3 linked regions of the Kluyveromyces lactis genome follow. The protein of the gene in region 1 interacts with the protein of each later gene in a pairwise test. Links are inferred from orthologs where the notes say so. Each region holds a gene or a part of one and is shown on either strand. Other genes may lie near its edges.

The links.
Region 2: the proteins of EHD3 (region 1) and HOG1 interact in binary tests that used the Schizosaccharomyces pombe proteins (3 or more experiments, as listed by UniProt). The link is inferred for Kluyveromyces lactis from reciprocal best matches to the Schizosaccharomyces pombe genes snr1 and sty1.
Region 3: the proteins of EHD3 (region 1) and RAD51 interact in a two-hybrid assay, tested with the Schizosaccharomyces pombe proteins (2 studies listed by BioGRID). The link is inferred for Kluyveromyces lactis from reciprocal best matches to the Schizosaccharomyces pombe genes snr1 and rad51.

The regions. Positions count from the first base shown.
Region 1 is NC_006042.1:1,714,135-1,721,083, forward strand, and holds EHD3 (mitochondrial 37S ribosomal protein mS47), read left to right. Parts: upstream 1-2,755; coding exon 2,756-4,270; downstream 4,271-6,949. Other genes in the region: TSC3 (Tsc3p), read left to right, coding at 1-67; KLLA0_F18656g (sphingolipid delta(4)-desaturase family protein), read right to left, coding at 454-1,608; ubiquitin-specific protease UBP14, read left to right, coding at 4,604-6,916. UniProt on the Schizosaccharomyces pombe protein: Component of the mitochondrial ribosome (mitoribosome), a dedicated translation machinery responsible for the synthesis of mitochondrial genome-encoded proteins, including at least some of the essential transmembrane subunits of the mitochondrial respiratory chain.
Region 2 is NC_006042.1:1,864,139-1,870,779, reverse strand, and holds HOG1 (mitogen-activated protein kinase HOG1), read right to left. Parts: upstream 3,572-6,641; coding exon 2,237-3,571; downstream 1-2,236. Other genes in the region: ATP-binding cassette glutathione S-conjugate transporter YCF1, read left to right, coding at 1-1,994; CCW12 (Ccw12p), read left to right, coding at 6,522-6,641. UniProt on the Schizosaccharomyces pombe protein: Proline-directed serine/threonine-protein kinase involved in a signal transduction pathway that is activated by changes in the osmolarity of the extracellular environment. Controls osmotic regulation of transcription of target genes.
Region 3 is NC_006041.1:1,796,805-1,803,184, reverse strand, and holds RAD51 (recombinase RAD51), read right to left. Parts: upstream 3,855-6,380; coding exon 2,745-3,854; downstream 1-2,744. Other genes in the region: SHC1 (Shc1p), read right to left, coding at 1-2,079; Arf family guanine nucleotide exchange factor YEL1, read left to right, coding at 4,762-6,380. UniProt on the Schizosaccharomyces pombe protein: Required both for recombination and for the repair of DNA damage caused by X-rays. Binds to single and double-stranded DNA, in the presence of magnesium, and exhibits DNA-dependent ATPase activity.

The sequences.
Region 1 (6,949 bases):
ACACACTATATTTCTGGTTGTAGTCAGCCTGAGCTTATTTGGTTTATTGAAGTACATTTTCCTATGAAACTCGAAATTCAAAGTTTCTCAATCGAAACATTAGCATACAGAGAAAGAGGGAGCAAGACCTTTTTTAGCGCATTCGTTATCAACGAAAACTCCGATCTCTAATCCAATCAACACATATCCATGACAAAAAAATTGTCATTAAATTGAAGCAAACCATTTCTTATCACACTCCCTTTTAGACAAGTCCTGAAGGTTCGACAAGAGTAAATTTGTTTAGAAAGTATGGGCTATATAATCTATAAAAACGGATAAATATTTAGAAATGTATCACGGTTATTTCGCAGGTGATCATGACTTCATATCAGGAGCCGTTTTCCCGGTTCTCTTGTGTTTGTTTTTGATGTTTTTATAATATGTCTACGAGAATCACCCAGGAAGCATGAGTTAAGCCTTGCTTTGTTCGAACTCTTTATTAACTCTTTTCACTCTATTGTATAATACGACATCATCGTGGGTAATAAAATCGTACAAGACTTTACACCAGGAGGAGTGCTTTGGCAGATGATTATAAAATTCCGGACATAAACTGTTCAATTCCCAAAGTCGGGACCAAGCAACAAATGGGAAATCATGATGTTCATTGTGTAAACCGACATTCCAAGTGAAGAAGTTTAGAAGCCCATAATAAGAATACGTCTCCAATGCGTACTTTTTCCTGAATTCGACGTCTTCTCTTGAGACGTTTGATTCATCAGTGACGTTAATTGGTTGTCTTTCGGCTGGCGTTAATTTTAGCATCAGTTTACCACCGATGATAGCTTCTTCAATGTTCAACAGATAGTGTTCTGCAATGAAATGGCCAGAGCATGGATGTAGAGAACCGGCTAAGAATGAGGACATCAGGAAATAACAGTATGAATACCAACCAAAATTCGCGATCCATATAAAATTGAACATAAATTGGTACAACACGTTCAAAAGGTGGATGTAGGTGAATTTGATCCTTGTGACAAACATAGGTCTAAATGCGTAGAAGAAGATTTGGAATGTGGCAAAGAACGATTTCCCCAAGATATTGGATAAAAGCACAGCCTCAAACCTGGTAGGGATATCCGTGTCATAAATTTCATCTCCAAGAAACTTGTGATGCAATTGATGATATGGTCCAAATGACGCACTGTATGGGATACCAATTGGGGTATTTGTGAAAATGGCAAACAACTTGTTGTGGACAGGTTTCTTAAATGCTAGGTTGTGAGACAATTCATGGATTGCCAAGAAGATATTCTGGTTAGCGGTAGCACCGATGACATATGCAATGATGAAAAATTTCCAAGTAAAAGGATGGGTATTTCTTAAGTAATAGGAAAGCGATAACTGAAGCGACACAACACCAATGATAATCCATTTAGTCAAAGGTTCGTGGCCCATAAGTCGCTGCACTTCTGGATGTTTCTTAATTATGGCATGTCTTCTTATAGCATGGGGTTCTTTATGTGCGGACCAGTAGAAGTTATCAAGAACTTTAAAATCCTCATCTGCACTTGGAACGTCGACAAATTTCTCAGAGACTTTCAAATCTCTATGAACAATTGTCATGTCTAAGGGTCTTAATGAAGCTCTCTTCTTGTTAAGATAGCGATTCCGATGCTATATCAAAACTTGAAAGTAAAACAATGCCGATAAAAAAACAGGAACCGGAAACACGCTTGACAAAAATACAGTTCTTGATCCTTGATTCCAAGCCTGCCTAGAATCTTATTATTGAGTTTGATACTGATATTCTCAATGTAACCACACCAGTTGGATCAGGTATAAATCCTATGTTTATGCGTGACTATTTAAAAGAACTTAAGCTTTTAAAATTTAAAATCTAAAATCCTTAAATCCCGAAAAAGAACTGATCTTATGATGTGATAAATTCAAACACATACACAAACCTAAACGCAAGCAAAGCCTGCTAAGAAATGTGGTTTATACTTAGAAAGAAATCTGTAATTGGAATTACAATATATCTTTAAACGAACAAAAACCATGCGATGAGATGTTGCTGTTCCGTGTGCTCTCGAGCGATAGAAAGAAATTTTTCATTACGCTTTAAGGGAAATGGGAAAAAGTACGGTCACGTGAAACAAAGACACAGAGAGGGAACGCCCTGTTCTAACATCAGACACAGGGTTGGTGGTACCAAGGGCCCCACCAATATCTGTTTAACCATTAAATATGCAAAACTGATATATTTCGATCCAATCCTGACATACTCTAAATCATTTCAAATGTCAAACGATGTGACAAACCGCTGCAAGATTATGGTTCAATCTTATACAGGATTTGCTTCCACCCCGGATGAATGCAATTATACGCGTACATAAGTTCTGTACCCCCTTTGCTACCGACCTTAAATTGCTTCGCAGTTTGGCTATCTTGTCTTATTATCCCCTTTCAAGTTGGAGAATTGCTCAATCCATTAGGTACTGAAATTGTTCAACAATCGTAGTAGCTTTTTTTTTTTGGTCACTCACTATTCTCCATCTGCTGAAACAAATTTGAACCTGAACATTGAGTGGAACGAACTTGACGAGAACAGAAGAATGGTAGCAGTCTCCCTTTAATTGCTGCATACTTAACTTACGTTGATATCTTTGACCAAATATATCTATATATACCGAGATCTACAGCGTCTTATAATATCCTGGCGGGTTATCAACATCATCTATTATACCCATTTTTACCATAGCATTCCATAATGTTGAGGCATTCCTATTGTAGAGCACAGCAACAGTCATTGAGACACGTTTTGAAGACCAGATTGGCTGTTAATCAATTAAGATTTATGTCTGAAGTTAAGTTTAGAGTCGATTCCACTGCCAGAGTGGTCACTTTGGATAGACCAAAGAAATTGAACGCATTGGATGTTGAGATGTGCAGTGCCATCTTGCCCACATTGCAAGAATATGCCAAGAGTACCGTTAACAATGTTGTTATCTTGAACTCTTCAGCTAGTCCTAGGGCCTTCTGTTCAGGTGGCGATGTAGCTCAAGTAGCCAAGTTGGTTAAGGAAGGAAATTTTGATTACGCTAGAGAATTTTTCACCAAGGAATACTCGTTAAACTTGGCTCTAGCTACGCTGAACAAGCCGGTCATCTCTATCATGGACGGTATCACCATGGGTGGTGGTGTCGGTCTATCTACTCATATTCCATTCCGTATTGCTACTGAAAATACTCGTTGGGCCATGCCTGAGATGGATATTGGATTCTTCCCAGATGTCGGTGCCACTTTCTCTATTCCAAAGCTTACCACTGTTGGTGGTTCCAACGGACAATTGGCTCAGTACTTGTGCATGACTGGTGACATTTTGAATGGTGCCGATGCTTACGTGGCTGGTGTCGCTTCTCATTATGTGCCACATGATCAGATCTCCAACTTACAGGCAAGATTGGCTGAGTTACATTTGACTGAAGCCACTTCTCAATCGACTAACCGTGATGATGAAATTTTCGATGTTGTCAACCATGCTATTGAGGAATTCAACGCACCATTACCAAGAGACTACAAGTTCAAGTACACTGCTGATGAACTAAACGTCATTGAACAGTGTTTCGATATCGGTAACAGTTTGAAGCAAATCTACTCCAAATTGGATGAGGTCATTGCTGGAAAGACAGTATCACAAACAGCTCAGGAGTTTGCTGCAAAGACCAAGCAAATGCTAGCTAGCAAATCCCCTGTTTCTTTGGAAATCGCAAAAGAACTTTTCCAAAGAAACTCCTTCACTGACATTCAAACCGCCTTGACCCAAGATTTGATCACTGCTACTAAAATGTCAGAATCTCCGGACCTATGTGAATTTGCTGAGGCCACTAGTCATAAATTGCTAGAAAAGAACAAGACCCCATACCAATGGAAGATCAAAGATTTGAAATTAGCCCAAATATCAGTTCTAATCTCACAAAACTCCTCAAACCCGGTGTCGTTGATCCGCCCATCAAATTTAGTTACTTTCTCTGAATACCCACATCATAGCAAGTACCAATTACCAAACGAAACTCTAGTTGAGAAATATATCACAGGTGCTGACAACCATGGAAGACAAACTGCAGTTACTAAGAAGGAAGCTGTCAAATTCTTCCAACAATTGAACCCCGCCACGAAGAGTAAGACCGGCGTAGACTACTTGGTAGGTTTTATTATTGACAGAAAATGTGTTCCAAACCCAGATGGTTTCTTAAGATGGAAAACTTCCTCTGCTAAACTATAAAAACTATACATTTCGATTATATAGTACATCGAACACTTGTAAATACACTTACGATTAACCTACACGCAATAAATTTCATTATCCTCTCTTAGAATGGCATTGTTCTTCGGCAGTACATAAGGGTGCCATAAGTTAAATACAGCTCTAATTGATGCGTTCTACTTTAAAACTCGTTCATCTACCTAATTCTTTGTTATATTTTCCATAATTACGGCATGGTTTAAAATTTGAAATTACTGGAGTTTGATCCTTTAAAATGAGTGTGCAAGAAATAGAACATCAATATATAAGAACAAAGCTCCACAACGCATCATATCTGCCTTCAAATTAAAGATGTCTGGTTCTGATATCCTTGATATCAATGTACCCAGGGTCATTGATACAGATGACTGTGTTTATTGTTTTGAAACGATGAAGAATAAAGATGAGGGTCGTGAACATTCATTATTCATCTGTCTACGCTGCTTTCAGTCTTTCTCCGAAGAGCATTGGGAACTACATCAAGAGGTTGTTTTGAGTGAGACTGGTTCTACCCATGATCTGTATCTCAGAGTATTCAAGGTTCTAAAACCAAAACAAGAGCGAGAAGAAGCTGGCACGCCACCATTGGAAAAGAAATTAAAGCTTGAGGTTAAGGATGTGAATGAGGATGATCTATATGATACCCACTGGCTGCTTGGATCTGTGGAACATGGAGAATTGTTATCTTCAGACACTCCATCTATTCCTAAGGAATGGAGTGACAAAATTAGTGAAATCTTGCAAACAAAATCCTCATCATATCAAGATATGTCAAATACCTGGACACTTGAATTAAAGTCATGTCCACACATACAGACTTTCGACTTATCGAACTTGGAGAAGCGAGAAGGTGGCATTTCTCAAAGCTGTAACGACTGTGGTCTTACTTCTAACCTTTGGTTATGTCTCCATTGTGGAAACGTCGCCTGTGGAAGAGAGCAGGTTGGGATAGAGGGGTACTCTCATGCTTTGAAACATTATGAAAGCACAGATGGCCACGCTTTAGCGATAAAATTGGGCTCTTTGACAGCTGATGCAGCTGATATATACTGTTATTCTTGTGATGAAGATGTGAAATTCACCCATAATCTGCAGTTGCAGGATATCTTGAAGTTTTGGGAAGTCGAAGTACCAGCCAAGTCCAAAGAAAAGACATTGGTGGAATTGCAAGTGGAACAAAGTCTGAAATGGGATTTTCAAATGGTAGATTCACAAGGTAAAAGTTTAAAACATCTACAAAATGGTCCTGAATACGGTTTGGGCTTATTAAATTTGGGCAATTCTTGCTACCTAAATTCTGTATTGCAAGTTTTACTTAACGGTGGGATCAGAAATTGGAACCTAGATGGATTAGGATCCTTTCCTACAGATGTCGTCTATCCAAGAACGAATTTACACTGTCAACTAATCAAAATCAGAAATGCTATGACCTTACAGCAATCCAGATATCCTGAGGGTATTAAACCCACCACTTTCAAAAAGGTTATTGGGGGCTCGCATGAAGAATTTTCCTCTGGAAGACAGCAAGATTCCTTGGAATTTTTTTCCTATCTCTCTGATAAATTGGATAGAGAGATATTTAAAAATACTACTACCAATCCAAACGATTTGTTTAGATTCAACATTCAAGACAAGATTAAATGTGACAATTGTAACAAAGTTAAGTTCATGGATCAAGTTTCAGAAGTCATTCAGCTTCCATTAAGAAAACTAGACGGGGAGCAAAATCTAATTGACAGGTTAAATGATTACTTCAGTGGGGAAAAAATTGAATACCGTTGTCTCACCAATAAGAAAATTAACACTGCATCAAAAGTACCAGGGTTCTCTAGTTTCCCACGTACACTTATCATAAACCCGATTAGAATTGAGTTAATCAACTGGCAGCCAAGCAAGACATCAGAGCAAGTTGTGGTACCTGGTGTACGCGATGATGCTTTACTAGATATGTCCCCATTCAAAGCTACAGGAATTTGCGAAGGGGAAGAAGTCGAAGAAGAAGAGGAATCAGATTCCTTCCAATTCAACGAATTGTTCCTAGGACAATTAGAACAGATGGGATTCTCTCGCAATGCTACCAAAAGAGCATTATTTGAAACGGGAAACTCTGACCCTAATGCAGCCACGGAATGGTTGTTCCAGCATATGGAGGACCCTAACTTAAACGAGGCCTTTGATCCTCATGCTTCATCCTCAGCGAAAAATCGTGTCGATTCAGAAGCACTAAACAGTATGACTGCTATGGGGCTTGATTCGAAACTATGCCGCAAAGCTTTGATATTGAAGAATGGTGACGTCAATGCCAGTGTAGAATGGGTTTTCTCCCATATGGATGACGACGGGGAGTTACCTGAAGCTGAGGAATGGAAGGATCAATCCAGAAAAAGTTTTGGAATCCCAGCATCGTCAATTGCCTCTGCTAAGTATAAACTGACTGCTGTCATATGCCATAAAGGTAATTCAGTTCACAGTGGCCATTACGTTGCATTTATTAAGAAAGTGGTCGAAGGAAAAGAACAATGGGTTCTCTACAACGATGAAAAAATTCTCTTGGCCAACGATGAACCAAATTTCGAGGACATAGAAAAGAATGGCTACATGTTTTTCTTCAACCTTGAAGAATAAGAGGCATCTCCTCTCTAAATAAAAGAGACATGC
Region 2 (6,641 bases), about 150 kb from region 1:
GGAAGAAGGGTAAACCAACTCCTTCCCAATCTACTACTTCCTTGGCAAAATTAGCGTCGGAAGGAATTGAATCTTATTCAGACTCAAAGATCTCTGAAATTACCGTAGATATAAATCAGTTGGACACCGAAAACTTATCTGAAGCTGAAGACCTAAAATCTCTAAGAAGAGCTTCTTTGGCAACCTTAGGCTCAATTGGTTTTGATGACAATGAAAATAGCGCCAGAAGAGAACACAGGGAACAAGGTAAAGTCAAATGGGATATTTATATGGAGTACGCCCGTGCGTGTAACCCCCGCAACGTGTGTGTGTTTTTGGGTTTCCTAATCCTCTCGATGCTGTTGGCCGTCATTGGTAATTTCTGGCTCAAACACTGGTCAGAAGTCAATACTGAGAAAGGCTATAACCCCCATGCCACAAGATATTTGATGATTTACTTAGCTTTAGGTGTTGGTTCCGCTCTGGCAACATTAATACAGACTATTGTTCTATGGGTATTCTGTACTATCCATGGCTCCAAGTATTTACATGATGCAATGGCTTCAAGTGTTTTAAAGGCACCTATGTCTTTCTTTGAAACAACTCCTATTGGAAGAATTCTAAACAGGTTTTCGAATGATATTTATAAGGTAGATGAAATTTTGGGTAGAACGTTTGCTCAATTCTTTGCAAATGTTGTTAAGGTCTCTTTCACCATCGTTGTTATTTGCATGGCAACTTGGCAATTTATCTTTATTGTGTTACCATTGAGTGTATTGTACATCTATTATCAACAGTACTACTTGAGAACCTCAAGAGAATTGCGTCGGTTGGATTCTGTTACTAGGTCACCCATTTATGCGCACTTCCAAGAGACCTTAGGGGGGTTGACTACCATCCGTGGGTATTCTCAACAGAACCGCTTTGTACATATCAACCAAACCAGAGTTGACAATAATATGAGCGCATTCTATCCTAGTGTCAATGCTAACCGTTGGTTGGCATTTAGACTTGAATTTATCGGATCCGTGATCATATTGGCTGCATCTATGTTGGCTGTTATTAGACTTGGTAATGGAACTCTAACTGCTGGTATGATTGGTCTATCATTGAGTTTTGCTTTGCAAATCACTCAATCGTTGAATTGGATTGTCAGAATGACTGTGGAAGTAGAAACTAATATTGTTAGTGTTGAAAGAATCAAAGAGTATGCAGAATTGAAGAGCGAAGCACCATATATTATTAAAGACCATAGGCCACCAGCATCATGGCCAGAATCAGGTGAAATAAAGTTTGTGAACTACAGTACCCGTTACAGACCAGAACTAGAATTGATTTTGAAGGACATTGATTTACATATTCACCCAAAGGAGAAAATTGGTATTGTTGGTAGAACAGGTGCTGGAAAGTCATCTTTGACACTTGCCCTTTTCAGAATTATCGAGGCAGCTTCTGGTCATATTGTGATCGATGGTATCCCAATTGATTCTATAGGTTTGGCTGATTTGAGACATGGATTGTCGATTATCCCGCAGGATTCTCAAATCTTTGAAGGCACAGTGAGAGAAAACATCGATCCTACTAATCGGTATACCGATGAAGAAATTTGGAATGCATTGGCTTTATCACACTTGAAGGATCACATACTGGGTATGGGATCTAATGGTTTGGAGACCATGCTTACTGAAGGTGGTAGTAATTTAAGTGTAGGCCAAAGGCAATTGATGTGCTTGGCTCGTGCCTTGTTGATTTCAAGTAATATCTTGATTTTGGATGAAGCAACTGCAGCTGTTGATGTTGAAACGGATCAATTGATCCAAAAGACGATTAGAAACGCATTTAAGGAAAGAACAATCTTAACAATTGCTCACAGGATTAACACAATTATGGACAGTGATAGAATTATAGTGTTGGATAAAGGTAGAGTAACAGAGTTCGACACTCCTCAGAATTTGTTACAGAAGAAGGATTCTATTTTCTATTCGTTATGTCTTGAAGCCGGCTTAACGGAGTGAAACCCCCTCAAGTTGTATTATCATAACAGAGATTTTGTTTATTTAAGTACTTTTGTAATAATTTTGTTAAGCAATTGTTTCCTAGTTGAGATGCCCTATCAGAATTATAAATAATATTCGGTTTATCGTAAGAAACGTGTAAATAGTTACATTTCTGCTGTGATTAAAAGATGCTTTATATAATACGAAATAAAAACAAAAAAAGAATATACTTCTGTCAAGCAGATTTCATTACATTGAACTTATTTGAATTTGGAGACGTATTGGTCTGCTTGATTAGCAAAATTCGTCAATGTTTCGTTTGCTGGATCAGGGCCAATAGAGAAAGAAGGGTTAGAATTGGAATTAGAGTTAGCGCCACTTTCAAGTTGTTGTGGGGTCACTTGAGCCTGGGGAGGAGTAGAGGCGATTGTCTGTTGAGTTTGCTCTTCAGTTTGGTGTTGTTGCTGCTGCTGTTGCTTAGAGGCAGCCTCCGCGGCGGCGACAGTGGCAGCGGCTACTTGGTCGTCGAAAGTAGCATTTGTATTGATTTGTGGGTCACCGATTTGATGGAAATCCAAGATCTCGGAATACATCATTACACGCCAGGTGTCAACAGGTAAGTCAGCATCGTTGAAATTCCAATCAAACTTAGCTTCTGCGATAGGTTCGTCGGTTGGGTCATGATATGGGGAAAGGTAAGGATGGGCCAAGGCATCAGCTGCTGTAATTCTCTTCTTTGGATCGAACACAAGCATTTTTTCTAGAAGATCTATAGCATCTGGTTCCAAGTTCTGGAACCTCGAACTGAATGGTACAGGATCTCTATGAGGTAATGAAGTAACAAATTTGAGAGTGTTCTCTGAGCAAATAGTGTCTATGACATCTTTTGGAGGCGATCCTAATAGATCAGTGATGATAGAAAATTGATGCACGTGATCTTTACCTGGGAACAAAGGCTTACCCTCGATCATTTCGGCAAAGATACAACCAGCAGACCAGATGTCTACTTCAACATTATATTTTTGCCAGGTCAACATGATTTCTGGGGCTCTATAGTAACGGGTTGACACGTAACCAGTCATTTGAGGATCTTGAATCCTAGCAAGTCCGAAATCGCAGATCTTTAAATCACAGTTCTCATTGATCAAGATATTGGAAGGTTTCAAATCTCTATGGATCACACCTGCGGAATGAACGTATTTAAGCCCCCTCAAGATCTGGTATAAGAAATATTGAACGAATTGTTTTTCCAAAGGCCTTGTCTGCAACAATCTATGTAGATCCGTCCCTTGCAATTCAGTGACGAAATAAATATCTTCTAATGGTGACAAGAAGATATCTTCGAGACAAATCAAATTCTCATGCCTTAGATGCTTTAACAATTTGAGTTCCCTATACGTTCTTTTTGCCAGTACGGAAGTAGAAAACGGTTTCATAATCTTCTTAATCGCTACAGGCTGGCTTGTTAGCGTATCTGTAGCAGAACAAACCAACCCGAAGGCACCCATACCAACCGGGTTCAAATTAGTATACCGATTGGTAATTTCGAAAACTGTACCAAAAATTTGAGTCCTAATAAATTCCTCATTCGACATTTTATTTCAATTGGAAAAACGTGTCCAGCTTCGATATCCTCGAGTTTTTGGTTCAACGAAGGATACGTATATGAATCTAATTCTTTGGGAGATCGCTCGAACTGGCAGATAACTTAAGCAACGTTATAGCAATTGTTGTCGAAGGGTCTCCTAGTTTTGTTTCTATCAAGTTTTCTTTAATTTTCAATTTTTTAAATTTAACGACTTGAATATGAAATTCAACGGTTCTAATTCACTAAAAAAAAAAGGAAGGGCCTGGCAAAAAACGATGTCCATTCACCGATAATGGAGGGGAAAGTGTCACAGTGGGAATTATATAAAACACTGTTTCGAAGATTTTATCACCGTTTGGTTCTGTGATTAACCCTGAAATACTGCCTGTGTACTTGTTTCCTATTTAAGACGTAACAACAGCTCTGACAGATAGGATCGACGTCGGCTTGATAGATTGGGTTATTATATGTGTATGCATGTATGTATGTAGAGTAAGATTTGCGAACAGGAGGGGCAGTGGCGGATTATGATACATGACATCCGGGTAATACTTCTACTGATATCACGTGATAAACCAAGTAAGAAACCCTTGAGAAGACCACCCAATTATTGCACACCTGTGAATACCGTGACGTTACATATTAATACTGGTGACCATAAACGTTAAAGGTACTTCTTGATCAATAATTATACATTTCCTCATTTAAAGTTTCTTTGTAAGTCGAAATGACAGTTTTTGGACAGACATCAATTTGAATAAAGTATGGTTTGAAACCGCCTACTTACATACAACGTGATCTGATAAGAAAACTTACGAGACAGGGTAATAGATGCATAGAAACGGATTAGTAACTTGATGTTACCCGGGAAATCACACCTCTTGGTTTTCTAGGCATGGAATAGAAAAAATGGACGAACCGTGAGATGATTTGCAGTAGGTAAAACCCACCGGCCGCGCCCTTGACGCTCTGTCGTAGTTTGTAACCTACTATCGGCGTTTCCAGGGTCTATTTACAAATCAAGCCATGACATCCTTCTCTACTGGTGACTGATCTGACTTACACTCAACATGAGTCGAACCCGCGACTCTGGAATACGACGATATACTTGAGATTTGTGATTAGCGCCTTTAAAGCCCTATCATGGAACCCTTGAAACGCGATCGCACAGGGTAAACAAAGCACACCATCTTGCAGAAGCAAGCAGACAAAGGGGAACGAATCTGATTAAAGAGTGAAATGCCCAAAGTCTAGAACCTTTTTACAGGGTACCAAATATAGAAGATTACGCAAAACTATAAAACCAAAACAACGGAAATCAAAACAAAAAGAGTCCGCAGCAACTACGTAATTTTTTCGTGGATTCTATTGCCTTGTAGTATTGCGTAGAAAATTGCTCGTAGAAAATAATCTCCCCCTCAGTTCTACCTGAAAAATTTCGAGTTCATATCGCTCGCTATCTGATATCTTGAATGAGACCATCTTTTATTTTTTCTCATCTGGAGTGGGATTTTTTTAATATCTTGCCTATGTTACTATAGATATGCGTTGCTAGCTATCTTCGATGCGGGCGTGCGTTATTTGCCTATTACTGAACTTTGAGCACTATAAGGGTTATTACGGGCGATCTTGGCCATCCCAAGCTATCCCTTCGAAAGGCCAACTTCTTGGTATATTCTTAAACCAACCAAACCGAGAGTAAAATATTGCCTCCAGCCGACGCCAAATATGGCAAAAATACCAAGCAATAATTGGTGAGTAAGCTGGTATATACTAGAATAGGAAACTGGAAACATAGTCGAGAAAGAGTGTGAAATAAAATTCTCGTTGCTTTGTAAAACGGGAACATAAATTTGCCAAGATTTATTTCCGCTACGTAGAAAACACCGCAATACGGGCATAAGCACACATTCGTGAACCTGAGATTTTCGTAACTGCGGTGTTTCTTGCATTGTCTTTTTCTTTTTTTGCGGTCACCCCCATGTGGCGGGGAGGCAGAGGAGTAGGTAGAGCAACGAATCCTACTATTTATCCAAATTAGTCTAGGAACTCTTTTTCTAGATTTTTTAGATTTGAGGGCAAGCGCTGTTAACGACTCAGAAATGTAAGCACTACGGAGTAGAACGAGAAATCCGCCATAGGTGGAAATCCTAGCAAAATCTTGCTTACCCTAGCTAGCCTCAGGTAAGCTAGCCTTAGCCTGTCAAATTTTTTTCAAAATTTGGTAAGTTTCTACTAGCAAAGCAAACACGGTTCAACAAACCGAAAACTCCACTCATTATACGTGGAAACCGAAACAAAAAAACAAAAACCAAAATACTCGCCAATGAGAAAGTTGCTGCGTTTCTACTTTCGAGGAAGAGGAACTGAGAGGATTGACTACGAAAGGGGCAAAAACGAGTCGTATTCTCCCATTATTGTCTGCTACCACGCGGTCTAGTAGAATAAGCAACCAGTCAACGCTAAGACAGGTAATCAAAATACCAGTCTGCTGGCTACGGGCTAGTTTTTACCTCTTTTAGAACCCACTGTAAAAGTCCGTTGTAAAGCCCGTTCTCACTGTTGGCGTTTTTTTTTTTTTGGTTTAGTTTCTTATTTTTCATTTTTTTCTTTCATGACCAAAAACAAACAAATCTCGCGATTTGTACTGCGGCCACTGGGGCGTGGCCAAAAAAATGACAAATTTAGAAACCTTAGTTTCTGATTTTTCCTGTTATGAGGAGATATGATAAAAAATATTACTGCTTTATTGTTTTTTTTTTATCTACTGAAATAGAGAAACTTACCCAAGGAGGAGGCAAAAAAAAGAGTATATATACAGCAGGTACCATTCAGATTTTAATATATTCTTTTCTCTTCTTCTACACTATTATTATAATAATTTTACTATATTCATTTTTAGCTTAAAACCTCATAGAATATTATTCTTCAGTCACTCGCTTAAATACTTATCAAAAATGCAATTCTCTACTGTCGCCGCTTTCGCCGCCGTTGCCGCCGTTGCCTCCGCTCAAAACATCACCACTGAAACCGCTACCGAATCCCAAACTACTTTGGTTACCATCACTTCTTGTGAA
Region 3 (6,380 bases), on another chromosome or scaffold:
CATAATCACGCAACCTTTCTTGGTCTTTTCCCCATTCTTACGTTTACTCTTGCTCTTTAAGTTCTTCTTAATTGAATCGATGCCGTTCTTTTCATTTTCTCCAAGAGCTGGTTTAGTTTGAGGAATGGAGATCTTGTCCAATTTGGGGTCAGAAAGAGATCTTAAATTAGGTGTCTTTTCTACATCCTGGTCATGTAAGCTCTTCTGACCACTAGCTGACAGGGTATTCTGATGTTCCATCGCAGACTGCTTTTGTAGTGAAGCAGACAATGTGCTTGGGGTTTCTTGTTGTGGATGCTGCAGTTGTTCAACGGGTATCGAATTGTTCCGCTTATTTTTCTTAGATGGATCCGTCAGATTTTGCTCCATATCAACAAAAGTTCCCGGCTTATCATCTTGGTCCAAATTCAGATGGAACGATTTTCTTTTACCCTTTTCTTCATTGTTGTCCAGTAAGAAATTGAAATTAAATGTACTTAAACTCTTCGACTTTCTTGAGGAACGATCTTTAATCTTCAGTTTGTTCAAGGCTCTCGGATCCTTGTTATCAGCAGCTAACTGATACCATTTCATAGCATTTTCAGTGTTTGGTTCACATCCTTTCCCCTTTTCATAGAAATATCCAACTGTGAATTGAGCCTTCGGATAACCTAACTTGGCCGCCCTCAGCGCCCATTCAAATGCTTCATTGTCATCGGCAACAAACGCAGGCTTAGCTCCGATTAGATACCATGCACATAACCCCATCATAGCCTCTGGATCCCCACCGTGTGATGCAATTGTATAATAATTTACACTAAGAAGTGTATCCTGTGGAACTACTTCGTTACCAACTTCGTATATTCTCCCCAAATGAGTCGCAGATGGCGTATGTCCCAATGATGCGGCTTGTATGTAAAGTTCCATAGCATATTTTCTATCGGCAATCAAGATATCAAGGAAACCAGTGTCATAAATCTTCGCCATCTCATACGGAGCCGCACAAGTCAACCTGTTGGCTTTTGCAGCCGCACGAGACAACCATTTCAAACCGTTCTTCTTCGTATTGAGATCGTCTGAAAGACCCATCTTAGCGTAAAATGCGTACACCCCAAGTTTAAACATGGCAGCTGGATGGTTTCTGGATGCAGCAAACTTCAAAAATTCGATGCACTTACGAGAATCCCTGGTAGTACCTATCCCTTCCTCAAAACATACCGATGTTCTATAAGCTGCTTCGACGTGCCCATGTTTTGCAGATGCTTGGAAAAGAGAGAATGCTTCTTTTTGATTCACTTTCCCAAAGACACCACTAGAGTAAGAATCTGCGAGTAAATATTGTGCATCTTTGTAACCTTTAACGCTCAATTTCTTAAGATAATGTAATGCTTCTTTCAAGAATTGCTGTCTCTGCTCTTCCACGGTTAACCCGTCTTCATTTTTTTTGTCATCAAATTCGGTGGGGTTCATAGTTAATGCAGTTTGTAACATGTACTGACTGTACTGGAACAAGACATCCGGGTTCTTCGATTTCTTAACATTTTGTTTGTACATTTCGATGGTTTTCTGACGAGATAGTAACGAGGCAGCCGAATCATTACCTAAATATGTGCTAATTCTCTTGTGAGACTCATCTGCCACAAGTTCATTCGTGGACGTGAATCGTATGTCCCTTTCACCACCGAGGTATAAATGTGAAAGATCTACGGATCTTGATCTTCTGTTCGGATTCTCCGCATTTGAACTAAAAGAAACAACGGACTTTACCCGTCTATCTGAGCCTCTAGAACCGCTAGAAGGTATAGAATTCACAGACATATTCCCATTGCTCGATTCAGATCTCTTATGTTTCCTGATATACTCAGGTGTCTCATTTGGAGGTGTGTTATTATTTGAACGTAAATTCGCGTACTTTTCTCCGGTTACTGTAAAACTAGGCGAGCTCAAACCGGACAAAGCCCTAGGTTCCTCATCATCGGCTTTAAAGTCAGCAGAAGAAACATTACCACTAACTTCAAGTTCAGGGATGTCAACCACCATAGGATTCAGTTCAGCTAAATGCTGTGCGTATGGATGGACATGCGAGGCTGATGCTGCCATTTGTAACGTTCGATTTATCAATTATATCACGAGAATCGGTCAAAAAAATTATCAAAAAAGAGTCGTACTTAAAACCCCAAATAACAGAGTGCCTAGTGACAAGTCTAATATATCGGTAGCACGCTTCTCCGCTCTGTCCCTCCTGTTTCTTGCCAGAATATGTTCTCTCGCAAACCTTTGTTTTACAAAGTTAACGTGTTTTATATAGAAATGCAAAATTACTCTTTCTTGTCTATATGTGGAAATGGTGAAATTTCCAAAAATTTCGCTTCAGATTGTTGACGTTCGGAATTCCGGTGTGATGAGGTAAAGAATATTAAAAGAAGTCAAGCCTATTAATAGCACACTGACATGGAGAAGTGTTTGTAGCTATGATATGCAAGTCCCTTAAATGAAAGGATAGTCGTCCCTTTTCGCTGAGGGAATTATATGCGTTTTATGCGAGCATTTAACAACTAGAGAGGGTTTGCATGAATATACATATAGAATAACGTGCCCTATGGACTATTTATAACACGAATGATATGAACAAATAAATGAGAAGATAGATACGCAGTGGGGTTTTACTAGCAACGTAGGAAATTGAATGCTATATTAAAAATGTGGATTTTTCTTTTTATTCTTTTTTTTTTGGTGTTATGAATAACCAGGTAAAGAGAATCAGATCAATCATCGTCTTCCCTTGGATCTCCGATACCATCCTCGTAGATCGCAAACACACATTCTGCTTCAGGCAAACATGGTGAGTCTACCACTTTACAGTATCTCTGTGGACCTTTCCCCTTCTTGAATCCAAGACGAGTAGTGGAGGAATGAGCCATGATATTACCACCAATCGGTTTTTTTGGATCAGGGTTAAACATCATTCCTCCGTCAACTTGGGCCACAACCTGATTTGTCACTACCGCTGCGACACCAAACTGATCAGCTAGTCTTTGTAATGATCTCATGAACTTGGCAAGGTGCATCTGTCTTGCACTTAACTCACCACGTCCCGAGAAGTCGGTTCTGTACAATGCCATAATAGAATCGACAATAATCAGCGAAAATCTTGACTCACTCATCATCTGTGCAGCTGCGTCCAACAATTTCAATTGATGGTCTGCGTTATAAGCTCTTGCATATGCAACGTTATTTAAAGCATCGTCAGGGTCCAAACCGAACCTCTGCGCAATCGAAACCAACCTAATCGGTCTGAATGTACCCTCCGTATCAATGTACAAACACTTGCCTTCACCGCCTCCCATATCCAAAGGTATCTGGCATGTGACAGCCAATGTATGGCAAAGTTGCGATTTACCAGTTCTAAACTCACCAAACAGTTCAGTGATAGATCCGGTTTCTATCCCTCCGCCAAGTAGAGTATCAAGATTTTTCGATCCAGTAGTTAAACAGATCATTTCGTTTCTACGCAAATGAAAATCAGCCGCAGTGACAAAACCCATAGGCACTAGTCTCGACGCTTCAGCGAGTAACTTATCAGCTTTAGCCTCTGATATACCTTTAATCTCCATTAAATCTTTTCTGGGGGCATATGCCACCGCCTCCGCTGTGTGTAACCCACTTTCTCTTAGTTTCTTGATATCACCAGAAGTGATACCGTTCACCTGCAATTTCTCTATTGGGACAAAGGCGGCTAGAGCCACATCGTCTTCTTCAGCCATAAAATCCGTTTCCTGAATTCTTTGCTGAACATCTTCCATCTGTTCTTCGGTTCGTGAGACCATCAACTGAGAATGGCCCTGAGTAGTCTGAACTTCTTCCACCTGTGACATTTCTAATTCTGTGGAGTCAATTTAGCCTGGTTCAAGCGACCTTATAACCACTACAATACCCTTTCACAACTAGGATAGAAAACTGCTTCTCCCAAGAAAAGTGAACGTAATTGATTAATGATGTCTCATGTAATGTAATTAATAATTAAATTATATAGCCTTTTTCGTGTTTTGGTGTTTTGTTTTTTTTATTCAAATTTCAAACCAAAACAAATTAAAATGGTAAACAGTCCCTGAAGAGTGTTTATTTACATGGCACGTGACTCTTCAGTCACATGTCATATTGCGGTGGGTGGTGGATCAAGAAAGATTATCTCATCATGGTCCTCCCCATCATGACCATCACCGGAACTGAGTTCGAAAGGTTTAAGTGTAACACATGCAGTGCATTGCTTGTTCTGTCTTCCATCTTTTCTACATAGTACTGATAAATATAAAGTAGTGAGCCATATATGTTTGTAGAAAGCCATATTACTTGCAGTGTTATCATGTACAATAGATGTTGATCTTTGTCTCACTGCGTCTTTCCTTAGCGGCTTTTCTTAGCGGCTTTACTTTTATATCAGAATTAGGCAATAATATGAAAAGAAATATCGAAATTGTTGCCAAAATGAAATCTTAAAAGGAATTTTAAAATGGCCAACCGTTACATCAGGCACTATTAAACAGCGATAGATTTGATCGCCAAGTTCTCAAGAACGTCTTATTAATAAGTTCAGCCTTTCTGTCTCGGATATTTTTTTGTGGGGGAATCCTTGAATTCTTCGCTGACCGCTTGAACCTTGGCTTCTACCTTGGATAGAGAAGAATTGAAAGGTGTTTTGCGTATGTCAAAGGGCTTTAAGCAGAGGATTATACATAGTGTAGGGATAGAATCACATACAGAAAATTGCCATAATTGCCATCGATGGGTGCGTTTATAACTCCTAATAAGAACCAGAATCATAACAGATTGATGGTAGGCAATGAACAGTCCGATCCACCAATAGTGGAATCTCCGAAGATGACGAATATCCATGCGTTTATTAACGATGCAGATCTACAAACGGCTGACCAGATGCTGAAACAGACTTACCGGCCCTTGGAATATACACAGTATGCGAATTGGTTAGGTGCAAAGGAGAATAAGCGCGTACTAACGGAATTTTTGAACCTTTTGAGACCTTGGCCGACTTCGTTGTATCTTACTCTATCAAAGCTATCCCATGGTCTTTATTTGATCGCAGAAGCTACTCCGCTAGACAATATTTTAGAAGAACTTGCTGCTCAATGGACCGATGAACATAAGGACAAGGTCTCACACTTTCAGGGGAACTATAGGGTCTGTCACATCATTTTGTTCTCTCTGTTGATCCTCAATTCTGATTTACACAATGAGTCTTTCGACTACAAATTTACAGTGGATCAATTCATTGAGAATACCATCTATGCTATCAGATATGAACTGAAAGATATGCAGCTAGATGAGAAACTCATAAAGGATGATTTACGTGGTTATTATAACCAAATTCTGGACATTCCATTTCCCTTGTGCCAACCGAGGACTTTCAAAGAAGTCAGCAACAAGAATGATTATTCTTCAACCTCAAATGATTCTCCTTCTATGAATCATTCTTCCATGAATCCCTCTCCCAATGAACGTGTGTCTTTTAGCGTATCCCGTAAGACTTCGCTTTTCTCTTTAAGACCAGCAAGTTCGCTTTTGGAAAAGACTACCACATCACAGTCGGTACTGTCTTCTCAATCAGAATGGTCTCAACACGTAAATGCAACCGATTTCTATGTTCATCAGCATGAAGATGATATATTCGGTAAACAAAATGACTCTTTATGGTTGGTAGACCACACTTTAAACTTTAAGGTCAACAAGTCTACTCATTCTATATCAGAACCATGCGATAGCGCAACTCACGGGATAATGAAACTTTTCAGAAGAGGTAATAACCTAACTCATCAACAACAAAGAATGGAAAATGCGAACAGAAAGATGCACAGAGCTAGAGTAACAGTTCAAAAAGGATCGCTTGAACTTCATTTAACAAAAAGTAAGAACAAACTTTCTGCAAGATCACTGACTGGACCGAATGGCATTTTTGGAACTTCTATTATCCAAAGATTTAATCTATTTGGTGCATTTGCGGAGCTCATTGGAGAAACAATCATTGATCATACGGGTGCATCAAAACCGAAATGTTTCCAAGTTGAATTTGCCGATGATCAGCATCACAAGAGTCTGATATTTGAATGTTCATCTTCCAAGCAATGTGAAACCTTCGTGGATTGCATAAATTTCTGGGCCAGTAGGATTACACCCATTCCGGATTCGCAATTTGAAATGGTATCTAATCAAGAATATGGATGGTCTGGAAGAATACTGTCTGAGTACCAAGAAGACCCTAACAGCTTCAAAGTGAACCCAAAAATTAAAGTTTTCCACTGGGAACCCTTGTATGGATTGGATTCCTTGTACACCAACTTCAACGTCGAAGAATCAGGTAAATTAAACATGGATTCACAGCTGCTACA